Caenorhabditis elegans: one gene and its partner. The protein of the gene in region 2 interacts with the protein of the main gene of each other region in a pairwise test. Each region holds a gene or a part of one and is shown on either strand. Other genes may lie near its edges.

Region 1 (4,432 bases), on a different chromosome or scaffold from region 2:
CAACTTCGACGAGCCCTGAAACATAAACAGGAAAAATTGGTACTAGATTGTGTAACATACAATTGATGCGTACCTCTTCGAAAATATTTTACCGTAGTCTGAATTTGTACGTGATAAGCTCTCGTCAAAAACAAGAAACTACATACATTGCTGCTCACAACGAAATGCGTTCAATTGAAATTTCTATTTGCCAACCGGGAGCCTCCAGACGGTTAAAACTGTCAAATGATGTGATTCCGTATGACTCATCAATGTCTGACCCAGAAATCCGGTCCTCTCGGAGTTTCTAGTTGTTTTCCACGTGTTCCACGTCACAATTGAATTCACATGGCAACCAGCTGCATTGCATTGGTAAAGTGACCATTAAATTCAATACGAAAAGTAAGCAAATACTTCAATTGTGTGAGTTTTAGTTGACCAACTTTTCATCAGGTTCATGAAGAATGTGAATGAAAAATGTTTTTATTCACTGTGAAGTAGGGGAGATCAAGAGATAAAGAACAGGCTAGATTTGGAGATACGAAAAGCGACAAACATGTGTTTTTATGTAAGCAGTCTTCTCCGAGCATCTTTTTATAGATGTTCGAAATACTTGAAGCGAAAAATTGCGCAACTTGAACTAAACAAGATAATCAGTGCGGTTGCTGCTATTTATGGATGATGATTGCTCGCGAGAGGGGGTCAGCAGGGACGACATTCCTACAAAGGGCATAAGGAGAATGAAAAAGTATGCGGGTAGAAGAAGAGAGCAAATGAGCATTGAGAGCATACTGTATTTAGTGATAAGCAGAGATTTTTGATATCTAAGCTAAGAGTGTCCGGAACATTTGGAAACTAGAAGCATTGGTCATGGAATTTTATTTAGAAAAATTGAAAAAGGAAGTCACACACATAATAAATTATGTGCATCTAAAACGTTAAAAAATCCAAGTATTGTACCGATTTTAATATTTCCAGGTACTGAAAGATTTTGAAAAATAAACAATTTTAGCAGCGTTTTTTGAATTGTCTTTGCTTTACATTGAAAGCTTATATCTCGGTTCTCTTTGGTTTTATCAAAAAATTGTCAACAAACCAAATGCGTGTAAAATGTTTATCTATATATCAATAGTAGAACATTTTTTGATATAACTCATGACAGTCGAGATATGAGTCGTCAAATTAGAGCAGTCGTGGTAAAAACTTTTAAAATCACAAATCAAGAAAGATAATTAAATTATTTTTCGCTGTGTGACCATTTTTATTTCAGCATGCGCTTCAAAAAACTACCAAGTTGCGTTATCATATTCTTTGGTTTACTCCGAAAATTTACTGGTAGCTATATAATTTACCAAAGCTGAACAAATAATCCACTCATTTGGTGAATAGTTCTAAAGTATACAAGCTTCAAGTCATACAGGTTATTTCAAAACTACAGTACCCTTCAAGGCTTTGAGGACCTCCGGTTTCCGAGTATGAATTATGAAATGTTTTTCGTCTAGTCCTCATTGTCTCAATCACTATCTCCAGGCAAAAAGATGAGATCTCTTGAGGGTACTGGACTCTCCCTCAATCCTCCGATTCAAGGAGTTGTTTCGAACGCTTAAGCACTCCTGGCTCCGCGCGGGGCGGAGTCGAAGTGTGCCGCGACCGACCGACCGCCGGCGCCTTCCTCCCCATTACCCCCACCCATCTCCCGCCGCTATATAAAAGGTACGCAGTGCCATCTGGACAGAATACAGAGCCTTCGAGTTCTAGTCCTTCTCCTTCTTTTACCCAACTCATTATTCCCCACATTTTTGTTTCAATGGCAGCCCGCAGAGCAGCTTCGATTCTTCTTATCGCCGTTCTGGCCCTCTCCAGTACCTTCGTCTTCGCTGACGAAGAGACTGTCAAGGTAAATTTCTTTTTTAAATACTACTTTTGTACTTTTGAACATTTATTTAAGCATTCAGTCATACTTTCCCTCTTTTATGCTCACTATTATTTTCGTGTTTTCTGTGTACCTAACCATTAGGACACGGCGCGGATGTGGGTATTGAATGCACAATGTGCATGAATAGGAATAATGAATAGGCTTTAGGAACAAGCTGGTTATGATCATGATCTTATTGATCATGCCCAATTGAAGCATAGCGTCTAGTACATCAGGATCCAAATTTCAGCAATCATTTGTTTAAATAACTTTTCAATTTTAACTATGATGCTTCCTTATGACTGTCTAGACTCTTATTTCATTTATTCCCGTCATTGGCCATTCCTTGAGACCTCACTAATACAAAGTGAAGTGGTCATTTCAAGGGGTCAGCTGGCTTCTTCTCCTGCTCTTTCCCCTCCGATAAAAACAGGAAAAATGATAGTGTAAACAAAGGGCGCATGAAGATTCTCTCCGCGATTGCCCCCCAGAGTGTGCGCGCAAAAATCTAAGCACACTGTCTTTCCTTACGGTCAAACAAAAGAGCCCTAAATAACTGCAGAACGAGACCGGATTGGCGTTGTCGCGTGCCAAGAGACAGTGCTGTTCATCCAACTCCAACTCATGCTGCGGAAACAACAACAACGTGCAATGCATCCCAGTTTGTCTGCAACAGTGCCAGAGCTCATGCCAAACATCCCAATGCATCCAACAATGTCAGCCAGCTTGTAACCAACAGTGCGGAGGAAACAACCAAGTCATCCTTCTTCCACAAACCAACAACTGCAACCAATGCCAACAACAATGCATCAGCTCCTGTGCCACCCCAATCTGTGCTCAATCCTGCAACAACCAATGCTCCAGCTCTTGCGGAAACTCTGCTCCACAAATTGTCGTTCTCCAACCACAACAGAACCAATGTGGATCATGCCAGTCTTCCTGCCAACAGACTTGCCCAACATGCAACTGCCAATCTGCTTGTGCTCCAGCCTGTGGAGGAAACAACAACAATCAGCAAATCATCGTTGTTCAACAGGACAACTCATGCTCATCCAACTGTAACAACCAGTGCTCCAGCTCCTGCAGCACCCCAATCTGCATTCAGTCCTGCCAATCCTCCTGCCAACAGGCCTGCCAGCCAACCTGCCAGCCACAATGCATGCCATCCTGCTCGTCTAGCTGCACATCCAACCAGGCTCCAATCGTCATCGTCGCTCAACAAGGAGACTCATGCTCCAACTCGTGCTCCAACCAGTGCCAGTCTGCCTGCCCAACTCCAATCTGTGTCCAACAGTGCAACTCTCAATGTCAATCCCAGTGCTCGAACTCTTGCTCCGGAAACAGCTGCAACCAACAACAGGTAATAATATTGATTTTCCATTAATTCATGAATCAATATTACAGGTCATTGTCCTCCAACAACAAGACAACTGCCAGAATCAATGTCAATCTTCCTGCATGAACACTTGCCAATCATCGGCTACCGTTCTTCAATGCCAGCCAATTTGCCAACAAACCTGCCAGAATACCTGTCAACAAGCCGCTCAAATCGTTGTTCCATGCCAATCGAGCTCTTCTGGATGTGGATGCTCATCTGGATATTCTCAATGCGGTGGATCATGCTGCCGTCGTCGTTAAGCATCCCCTTCCCTGAATTCTATGAACGAATTCTTACCGTATCCGCGTTTTCTATGCGACAACTTCTGTTTTCGTTTCCCCATCCCACTTCTCACATAACTTTTATTATGACATTGTCTGTAAATAAGTGGTAGCCATGTGAGGTGTCTAATTATTTTATTATTGTTCCCTTCTTTTTCATGATGTTTCATTGTCCTTGAGTTTCGACAATAAATTATTCTAATTTAAGAATTATACAAGAAATGTTTTCATTCGGCAAAACATAAAATAAAAAATCACATATATTCACAGTAATCAATCATCATATAATAAATTGTATTGTTTAGTCCTGTTTGAATAGTCCTCGAGCTGAGCGACGAAGGGTTGAGCGACGCTGAAAAAAAAATTTAAAAAGAAGAAAAACAAATGTATCCAAATTAACAGTTTTTCTAAATTTATTATTGATTTTATTCCGAATTTTGCAAATATAAACGAAGTTACTGAAACAAATTCGAATTTTCGACAGAAGTTTCAAAATTTTCGCGTTTTTTATTCATTGGTTTCTCTTGATTTTTTCCTTGATCTTTTTTAATTGTCACCCAAAAAAAAGTCGTCGAAATTTCAAAATTAGCCTAGAAATGAGTAATGTAGCATTAGTTTCAACTCTTTTTTTTCGGAAAACTTTCTGAAAAAATGACAAAGTATCGAATCAAACACTAAAGAATTTTTCAATTAATGAATGAAAATTCCATAATTCGATAGAAAATTAAAAATTTTGAAAAAAGAGCACATGCTTGTTATAAAAATGCACATACCCTTACAGCACCAGCTTTCATCATTGAGCTTCGTCGTTTTTTCTTTTTCTCTGGAACATATTCCTGCACATCGGAATCTTCTTCGGCAATATTCATAGCTTCCAAG
Region 2 (8,056 bases):
ATTAATACACACGGTATAATACACAAGTACCAATTGAATTGTGGTCTCTAGAAAATGTCAAGAATAACTTTAAATTCGAAATACTTTTTTTAAAAACTCACCGTAAAGGAATCCACAGAACCAGCAAAAAATGACTAGAGAAAAAACAAAAGGCAACCACCAGTCGCCCAGGATAAATGTAAAATGATAGGAGATCCGTCGGAGAACACCCGTCACTCCCCCGGGAGATGAATACGCCTACCATACCTACCTACAACAACAGCAGTACCTAGCAAATAGCCCTAAAAGTGTCATAACGAATGGTTATAAATTGCACTATTCGCAGAAATGGAGCAGACTTGTGGGTGGGTGGCTCAGTTTACATCGAGAAAGTGATGGAGTTTTGATACTTTGGCCCAAAATGATCTATGGCTACCGAATTTCGTTATGAGACGGTCTGAAAATGGCTCAAAAATAAGTTAAAAAATAAGCCCCTCAAAGTTTGGAAAAATGGTCTATTTCTAGCTCAAATCTCAACTTTTCAGTGTCTCAGCGGTTGCCAAAATTTGAGATTTTAGCCAAAAATATACAGTTTTTTCCTAAACTTTAAGCGGCCATAACTGTTTTTTGAAAAATGTTCAGAACGTCTCATTACGAAATTTGGTAGTTTTGGAACATTTTGGGTCCAAGCCTTTAATTTCCGAATTCTATGAAAATAGCTTTATTTTTTAAAAAAATCGATAATCATTCAAATTTGAAATTAGTCGCAATGATGGTGGTGATGCTGAAAAATTATTGATTTTTTTTCGATTTTTATTGATTTTCTCTCACCCTATGATGATGGTGTCCTCCGTCGTAATAGTAGACTTCTGGTTGATAGCCATAGCCCATTGCTGAAAAATTTCTTTTTTTTTTCGGGAAATTGAATTTTTGACACAGCTTACACTTTTGCTACAGTAACTGGAAAGTTTCTAAATTCAAATTTTTGATTTTAGTACGCCGAGAGCTTTAATTTGACACCCAACATGCCTATGTTCCGCGTGTAGCAAAGTATTTTGGGTCCCACCGCGAAAAGTCTCGGGGTACTGTAGTTTGCAGGTTTGGTAGGTGCAATTTATTTTTCCGGGTGAGTTTGAAAATTTCTGCATTTTTTATGTCAAAAATCTCATGAAAATGTTGAAAATTAAAAAAGTTACGGATTTTCGAAAAATTTCGAAAATCTCGAAAAATTATCGTTTTTTTTTTCTAAATTTTTCCAAAAATTTACTTGCCAAACTCTTACTCCAAACATCATCATATTTAAATTTTGCCAATTTTAGAGAAGTTTGGTCCCGCCACGAAAGTCCCCAGGAGGTCTGTAGTTTTCGTGGCGGGACCCAAAATGATCGGAATATAGTCATGATGGGTGTCAAATTGAAGCTCTCGGTGAGCTGAATACGAATATTAGAATTAAAAAGAGTCAGAATAAAAAGTTTTTGAAAAAAAAGTTGAATTTTGAATTTTTCTTTTCAACAAAAAACTCACGATACTGTTGGTACATGGGATACGGTTGAACGGCAGGATACGAATATGGGACTACTGTAGTTGGGTACTGTACTACTTGTGGTGCCATTGCAGACACTGGAACTGCTGCTGCTCCTGAGGGATATGGCATTGGGACGGTGGCCTAAAAAAATTTTTTTGGAATTTTTTACTTTTTCCAATTTTTTATTTAATTTTAAAGAAAAAGTGTTTGAAATTATGAAATTTGAGTTTATCGCGTCGAGACCTTCAAAATGACACCCCCATATTGGCTAGGTTTCGCTCACTTTTGGTCTCGCCGCGAAAGTCCCAAGGGGTACTGTAGTTTTCGTGGCGGGACCCAAAGTTGGTGGAACCTAGCCGATATGGGTGTCATTTTAAAGGTCTCCACGAGCTAGAGTTAAATATTTAGGTTTTTAAGCGAAAAAGTTATTGATTTTCATTTTTAAAAAATTGAAATTTTTTTTTTCGAATTTTTTAAAATTTTTTTCAAATTACTGCCATCTGTTGCTGTTGCTGTTGGAGATAAGGATTGTATCCCGGAGGCATTTGCTGTTGATTTTGATAGATTGGAGCCTGTTGACGTGACATTTGTTGGGGAAGTGGCTGAGGAATTCCTGGAGTTGAATTAGCCGATTGGGGGTAGGTCTGGAAATTTCATGAACCTTAATTTTTTCTAGGAGCTCAGTTATAGACTTTTAAGCTAAAAATTTGAATTTTGCTCGTGGAGAGCTTTCAAATAAGTATAAGCAGATAGGGGTTTGAACAAAAAATCAAAATTTTGGGTCCCGCCACGAAAACTCCTGGGCTACTGTAGTCTCGAGATGAAAATGGTTAAATATATTTTTCTGCGGGTTTTCAGCATTTTTTGAACATAATATTCAAAAATTCAAGTAAATTTCTCAGAAACTAAAAAAGTTATGGATTTTCGAAAACTTTCGAAAAAAAAAAGTTTTTAAAGAAAATTATTTCTCAAGTTTTTTTTTACTAGAAGCTTCATAATATATATACAAGTTAGAATTTAGGACAGCAAGAGCTTCAATTTGAAACCCATCATGACTAGGTTCCGCTCAATTTGGGTCCCGCCACGAAAGTCCCCAGGGGTACTGTAGTTTTCGTGGCAGTACCCAAAATGATCGGAATATAGCCGATATGGGTGTCAAATTGAAGCTCTCTGTGAGCTCGGCAAAAAAATTTGAGTTTCAGCGTAAAATGGTAATTTTTAGAATTTTTTGATGGAAAAAAATTTTCAAAAAAAAAAAATTTCCAAATTTTTTTTTCAAAAAGTTCAAAAATTATTGTTTTTGTTTCAAATTCAAAAATTCTCAAAGTTTTCTCATTTTCTCAACATTTACCACTGTATATGGTACCGATGGAGTTGGCGCAGGTGTATACGAAAGTGGAACGGAAGACGGAGGCTGTGGCATCTGAAAATCTCAATTTTTCAGGGTTTAAAATTTGGAATTTGCTGCTTCTAAAATCTACGAAAAAAAAGTTCCTAGCAGCGAAAAACTCGAAAAACTCAAATTTTCACTCAAAAATTTCAAAAAACCTACAGGGACGCTGGTATATGGCGAGGTGTACGCAGCTCCCGCCGGAGTCGGCGGAGCCTGAGTGATAGGCGGTGCACTTGGCATGGAAGTTTGTGGTGGTAATGTTCCAACGGGATTCTGCTGTGATGCATGTGTCGAATTATCGATTAATCCCGGAAGTGGGTACGGATGATTCGAGAATCCCTGCGAGCCGCCGGTAAAGTAGAAAGAGGAGGAGGTGGTGCCTGTTGAGCCGGGAGCCTGACATTTTTTCAGATTGGGATGATTTTCATATCATAGAGCTTGAAAAACTACGGGGAATGCAAAAAAAAAACTGGGGAAAATTGGTTGAAAAAGAAGGAAAATTCATCGAAATTTTTTTTAAATCTTAATTTTTTGATTTTTTTTTTCAAATTCTTAGCGAAACTCTTCTAAAACCTAAAATTTCACATTCAACCCATCAGGACTAGGTTCCGCTCACTTTGAATCCCACCACGAAAATCCCCAGGGGTACTGTAGTTTTCGCGGTGGGACCCAAAATGATCGGAATATAGTCATGATGGGTGTCAAATTGAAGGTCTTGGCACGGTGAACTTGAATATCGTATGGAAAACCTGAAATATATTCTAAAAATCTTTCAAAAATTCAAAAATTGAATTTTTCGAAGCTTTGGATTTTCGAAAATCTTCGAAAATCCATAACTTTGTCAATTTTAAAGATTTTTCTTTGATTTTTGGCTTAAAATGTGTGGAAAAATGTTATCTTTGTTAGAAAAATCAATATTAACTAGTGGCCTAGCTTTGGGTTTCTAAGCCATCAGTTTAACGTTGAAAAGTTTGTATTTTTGTCTATTTTCACCCAACTTTCCCCATTTTTTATCACTTTTTGCGATGTTTTTTGCATTTTTCTTTTTGTTTTAATTTCCACAGTGCGATAAATATATAAATTGCCATTCCAAGGATTACTGTACCTACCGTAGTCATAGTGATCTGCGTAGGCGGGGCGGCTGGCTGAGGCATTGGCGCTGGCGGGAATGGCTCGTTATCCGGAAGTGGGACTTTTTGAGGAGTTCCCAGATTCATATTAGCCATCATTTCTACCGGTGGAGATGTTGCTTGTTCGTAGGATGGAAGGGGTTCTGGAAATTTTTGGTTTTGTAGTTGGAAACTTGAAATTTTCGTGAAATCAATAAAAAATTCGAATTCCTCGCGTAATTTCACCCCGTGACACTTTTTTTCTGAGCTTGTGGCTCAAATTCTAAAAATTTTGGGTTACTGTAGCTTCGAAAGTACGCAAACACCACCACACACCAGATCTTACGACAAAATGCAGAAAAACCAGTTTTGAGCGGAAAATACATTGTCAGTAGTAAAAATTGAAGAGAAATTCGAATTTCGCACTCAAAACTCCTAAAAATTGTTCGATTTCTCAGAAAATCACTACTTACGGGATGTTCCAGGGGTAATAGTGACATCTTCGGTGATCATTGGACCGCTGACAAGTACCTGAATTTCAAAAACTATGAAAATTATCGATTTTTCGCTAAAATTACCGATTTCACTAGTGTGGGGTCGACGCGGTGCACAAAATCTGCAACCTTGGATTCGTTGAACAAAATCTGGAAAAAAAGAAAGTTTGGAGCTACAGTAACACGACGATATTCGTGTTAAGACCCATAGTTTTACTATTATCAGATTAAGCGTAAAACGAGCTTTCAATTAAGTATAATCATGGAAGGGTTTCGAAAAAAAGTTTTTTTTTGAAATTATCGATTTTTCGCGCCCCCGGAAAAATCAATAAAATCAATAAAATCAATAATTCTCACCTGGAACGAGTGCTGGGAGGTGATGATTTTCAGCACCGCCCGTTGATTTAACGGGCAGACGACAAGAGTTTCGACGGCGGTTGACTTTTTTTGTGATACGGTGCAATCGATTTTTAGCTGGAAAAATCGATATTGATTTTTGATTTTTAGAGAATTTTCGATTTTTTAGTGATTTTTTGGAAAAGTATTGATTTTTTAAAATCACTTTCGAGGTGACATCGACTTTATGACAGCTTTTTCAGAATTTATCGAATTTTTCGAAAAAAAAATTTCTGTGATATATCGATTTTTTCCAATTTCGGTAAAATTATTGATTTTTCTCCAATTTTTCTGAAAGTTATAGATTTTTTTTCCAATTTCGGACGGAAAATCATCGATTTATAGTCTTTTTTCCCGCTAAAATTTTACTCGATCAGCCAAATAAAAATTCTGAATCACTTTAGACGGTTGAACGAGCACAAGCTCGACGCGAAGAGCCTGATCTCCATTATTTGTGTTGAAAATCACGAAAATGCTCTTCTGAATGTCCTCGTAGGGTTTTCCGGTCAATTTAAATGTGGTCCCGACTGGAAAGCCGGCTGGAATGTCCCGACGGAACGGCATTGTCTGGAAATTATTGACTTTGTCGAAAATTTGCGTCAGAGCGCAATTGCAACTGCAACAACAATTTCTACTGCTTTTGTGTTGCAACGTGGTGTCAGAATGTCTTTTTTCGGTTTGATCTCCGAAAAATGCGGGAGAAGAGACGCAGAGTTTTCAACTGATTTTGCATGGTTAAGAACGTGCTGACGTCACATTTTTTTTTGGGCAAAAAGTTCCCGCATTTTTTGTAGATCAAACCGTAATGGGACAACTGGCACCACGTGTATTGCGATATCGTGAAAAATTGCGATAGTTGCATTGGAGCGCATTTTCACGATTTTTCAGAATTTTTGGTTTTTTTTTCGCCATAATTATTGATTTTTTACTGTTTTCAATATTTCATTTGAAAATTTTGAAATATTCACATTGGAGCGCGCTTGCATGCGGCGAAAATTCAAAAATTTCGCGAAACTTACCGGTAAAACAAAGTTCTGCATAGTCAGGTAGTATTTCACAAGAAAATTAGAATATTCGAGAATAACTTTTCGGAAAAGTGTCCGTTATCAGTTGCCGCAGCACCTTTTTCAGTATTTTTATCGCTAAGCAAATATTGAGTCAACCTCACACAGTGCCACGGGGGCTTCATATTGACAAGATGATGTGCACGTGTGTAAATAATACGGAAAAATCAATAGTTCATCGAGAAAAAGTTCAAAGTTTGTGTTTATCATGGCTTCTTTATCGGATATTCTCATCAAAAAGTGTTTTTCTCGAGAAAATCCTATTTGAACTACCGCCAAAAGCAGCAAGTCCGCATTTGCGCGTAGGCTCCGGTGTAATTGCGTACCAGGGCATTTTATTTGACGACATTAAGCTTTTTTCATCAATTTCCAGCTTAAAAAATCGATTTTCTCTCGTTTTCTCAATTTTTTTTCGATAATTTTCTAAAAATTCAGGTTCTACGTGTCATGGAGGTGCCGGAAAATCTAAAAAATCCGCAAAATGCGCGCCGGGAAGGCTCAAATATGAAATGTTTAGCGGATTATTCAGTAAGTGTATTTTTCAACCGGTTTTCTCAAATTTTAAATTTTATTTTTCAATTTTCAGGTAGAAAAAGAAGTCGGCGAGGGCTCATTCAGCACGGTCTACCTGGCACGTCGAAAAGAACCCAAAAATGACGAAAATCCGGAAGTTGCGCTGAAAATCTGCCTGAAAAGGCTGATTTTGAAGAATAAAATGGTTTTTAAACCCGATTTTTATTGGAAATGTGAATAAAATCGATGAATATTCCAGGTTCCGTATATTCATCGTGAAAAAGAGGCGCTGGCGTTGATTTCTCGTGAAGAAAACGCTCATCCCGGAATTGTGACGTTATACGCGACTTTTCAAGACTCGGAGAGCTTATATTTTGTTCTAGAATATGCTAAATGTGAGTTTTTAGCTGAAAAATCTCGAAAAAAAAGCTGAAAACTTCAATTCTTTCAATTTCAGACGGAGATCTCTGCACTTTAATGCAAAAACAGCCGGATTCCAAGTTCAACGTCGCAGATTCTCGATATTATGCGGCCAATTTGCTGTCAGCACTTGGTAAATATCGATTTTTACGCTGAAAATAGGAAAAAACCGGTAATACCGCTGGAAAATTGTGAATAAACCCATTTTCTATTGCAAAACACCGTTTTTTCCAACAAAAAATCTCTAGGTGGCCGAACTTTTACGATTTTTAGGCCACTAATCGAAAATGATGGATGTTTTTCGAATTTTCCACACAAAAAAGCAAAATTCCTGAATTTACTGGATTTTTTTCCGAAAAAACTCGAATTTTTCTCCAAAAAATGGCAAAAATTGTGCAGATTTCACTACATCAGCGGAAATTTTAGCATTTTCAGCCGAAAAAACAGATGGTGGCCTAACTTTTCGAAATTTCTAGGCCACAGTCGAATTTAGGGCGTTTTTGTTGAAATTTCGAGATTTTAAAAGGGGAAACACATTAAAATTTTCAAAAAAAATCGATAAAACGTGAAAAATGACCGAAAATTCCAGAAACTTTGGCATTTTTTGACAATTTTCGGTGCTAAAATCGGATTTTTCACTATTTTTAACCCCGACTCGCATGTTTTCAGCTAAAAAAATTTTGGTGGCCGAACTTTTTGAATTTCTAGGCCACCAATTGCAAAAAGTTGATTTTCAGCCATTTCCTCACGGTTTTTTCCGAGAATTTTTTGAATTTCCTATTAAATTAAATAGATTCCGAGTTCAATTTCTGAAATTTGTGATAAATTTTCCCAAAATTTAGGGTTTTCCTCAAATTTCAAATATTTCTCGAGAAAAATTAATTTTTCGCCGAATTTATCAAATTTCCGAAATTTCCAAAAAAAAAAATCCCTAAAAAGCTTAATTTCTAAAAATTTCGTGACTTATGTGCCTCTACTCGTATTGATTGCAGTAAAAACGGGTATTTATTCACATTTTCAACCTTAAATTGGGCTGAAAATGTGAATAAATACCGTATTTCTGCCAACAATTTGACAATAGAGCACATTTGTCACTCGGAGATGCGGAAGCTATGCTCAAATTTTCAATTTTCACCCGAAAAACTTGTGATTTTCACAGATTT

Evidence for each region.
Region 1: the proteins of W04B5.3 (region 2) and abu-14 interact in a two-hybrid assay, tested with the Caenorhabditis elegans proteins (one large-scale study listed by BioGRID).

What each region holds. Positions count from the first base shown.
Region 1 is NC_003280.10:9,224,512-9,228,943, reverse strand, and holds abu-14 (Activated in Blocked Unfolded protein response), read left to right. Parts: upstream 1-1,729; 5' UTR 1,730-1,786; coding exon 1,787-1,876; intron 1,877-2,456; coding exon 2,457-3,254; intron 3,255-3,298; coding exon 3,299-3,532; 3' UTR 3,533-3,758; downstream 3,759-4,432. Other genes in the region: ZK1067.3 (uncharacterized protein), read right to left, coding at 3,855-3,905, 4,327-4,432.
Region 2 is NC_003281.10:2,416,543-2,424,598, reverse strand, and holds W04B5.3 (Galectin), read right to left. Parts: upstream 6,052-8,056; 5' UTR 5,937-6,051; coding exon 5,916-5,936; intron 5,814-5,915; exon of another isoform or gene 5,793-5,813; intron 5,464-5,792; coding exon 5,296-5,463; intron 4,975-5,295; coding exon 4,858-4,974; intron 4,651-4,857; coding exon 4,585-4,650; intron 4,538-4,584; coding exon 4,480-4,537; intron 4,171-4,479; coding exon 4,007-4,170; intron 3,294-4,006; coding exon 3,057-3,293; intron 2,928-3,056; coding exon 2,856-2,927; intron 2,149-2,855; coding exon 1,999-2,148; coding exon of another isoform or gene 1,990-1,998; exon of another isoform or gene 1,646-1,989; coding exon 1,504-1,645; intron 873-1,503; coding exon 811-872; intron 764-810; coding exon 740-763; 3' UTR 687-739; downstream 1-686. Other genes in the region: W04B5.5 (non-specific serine/threonine protein kinase), read left to right, coding at 6,408-6,488, 6,547-6,678, 6,733-6,868, 6,931-7,026.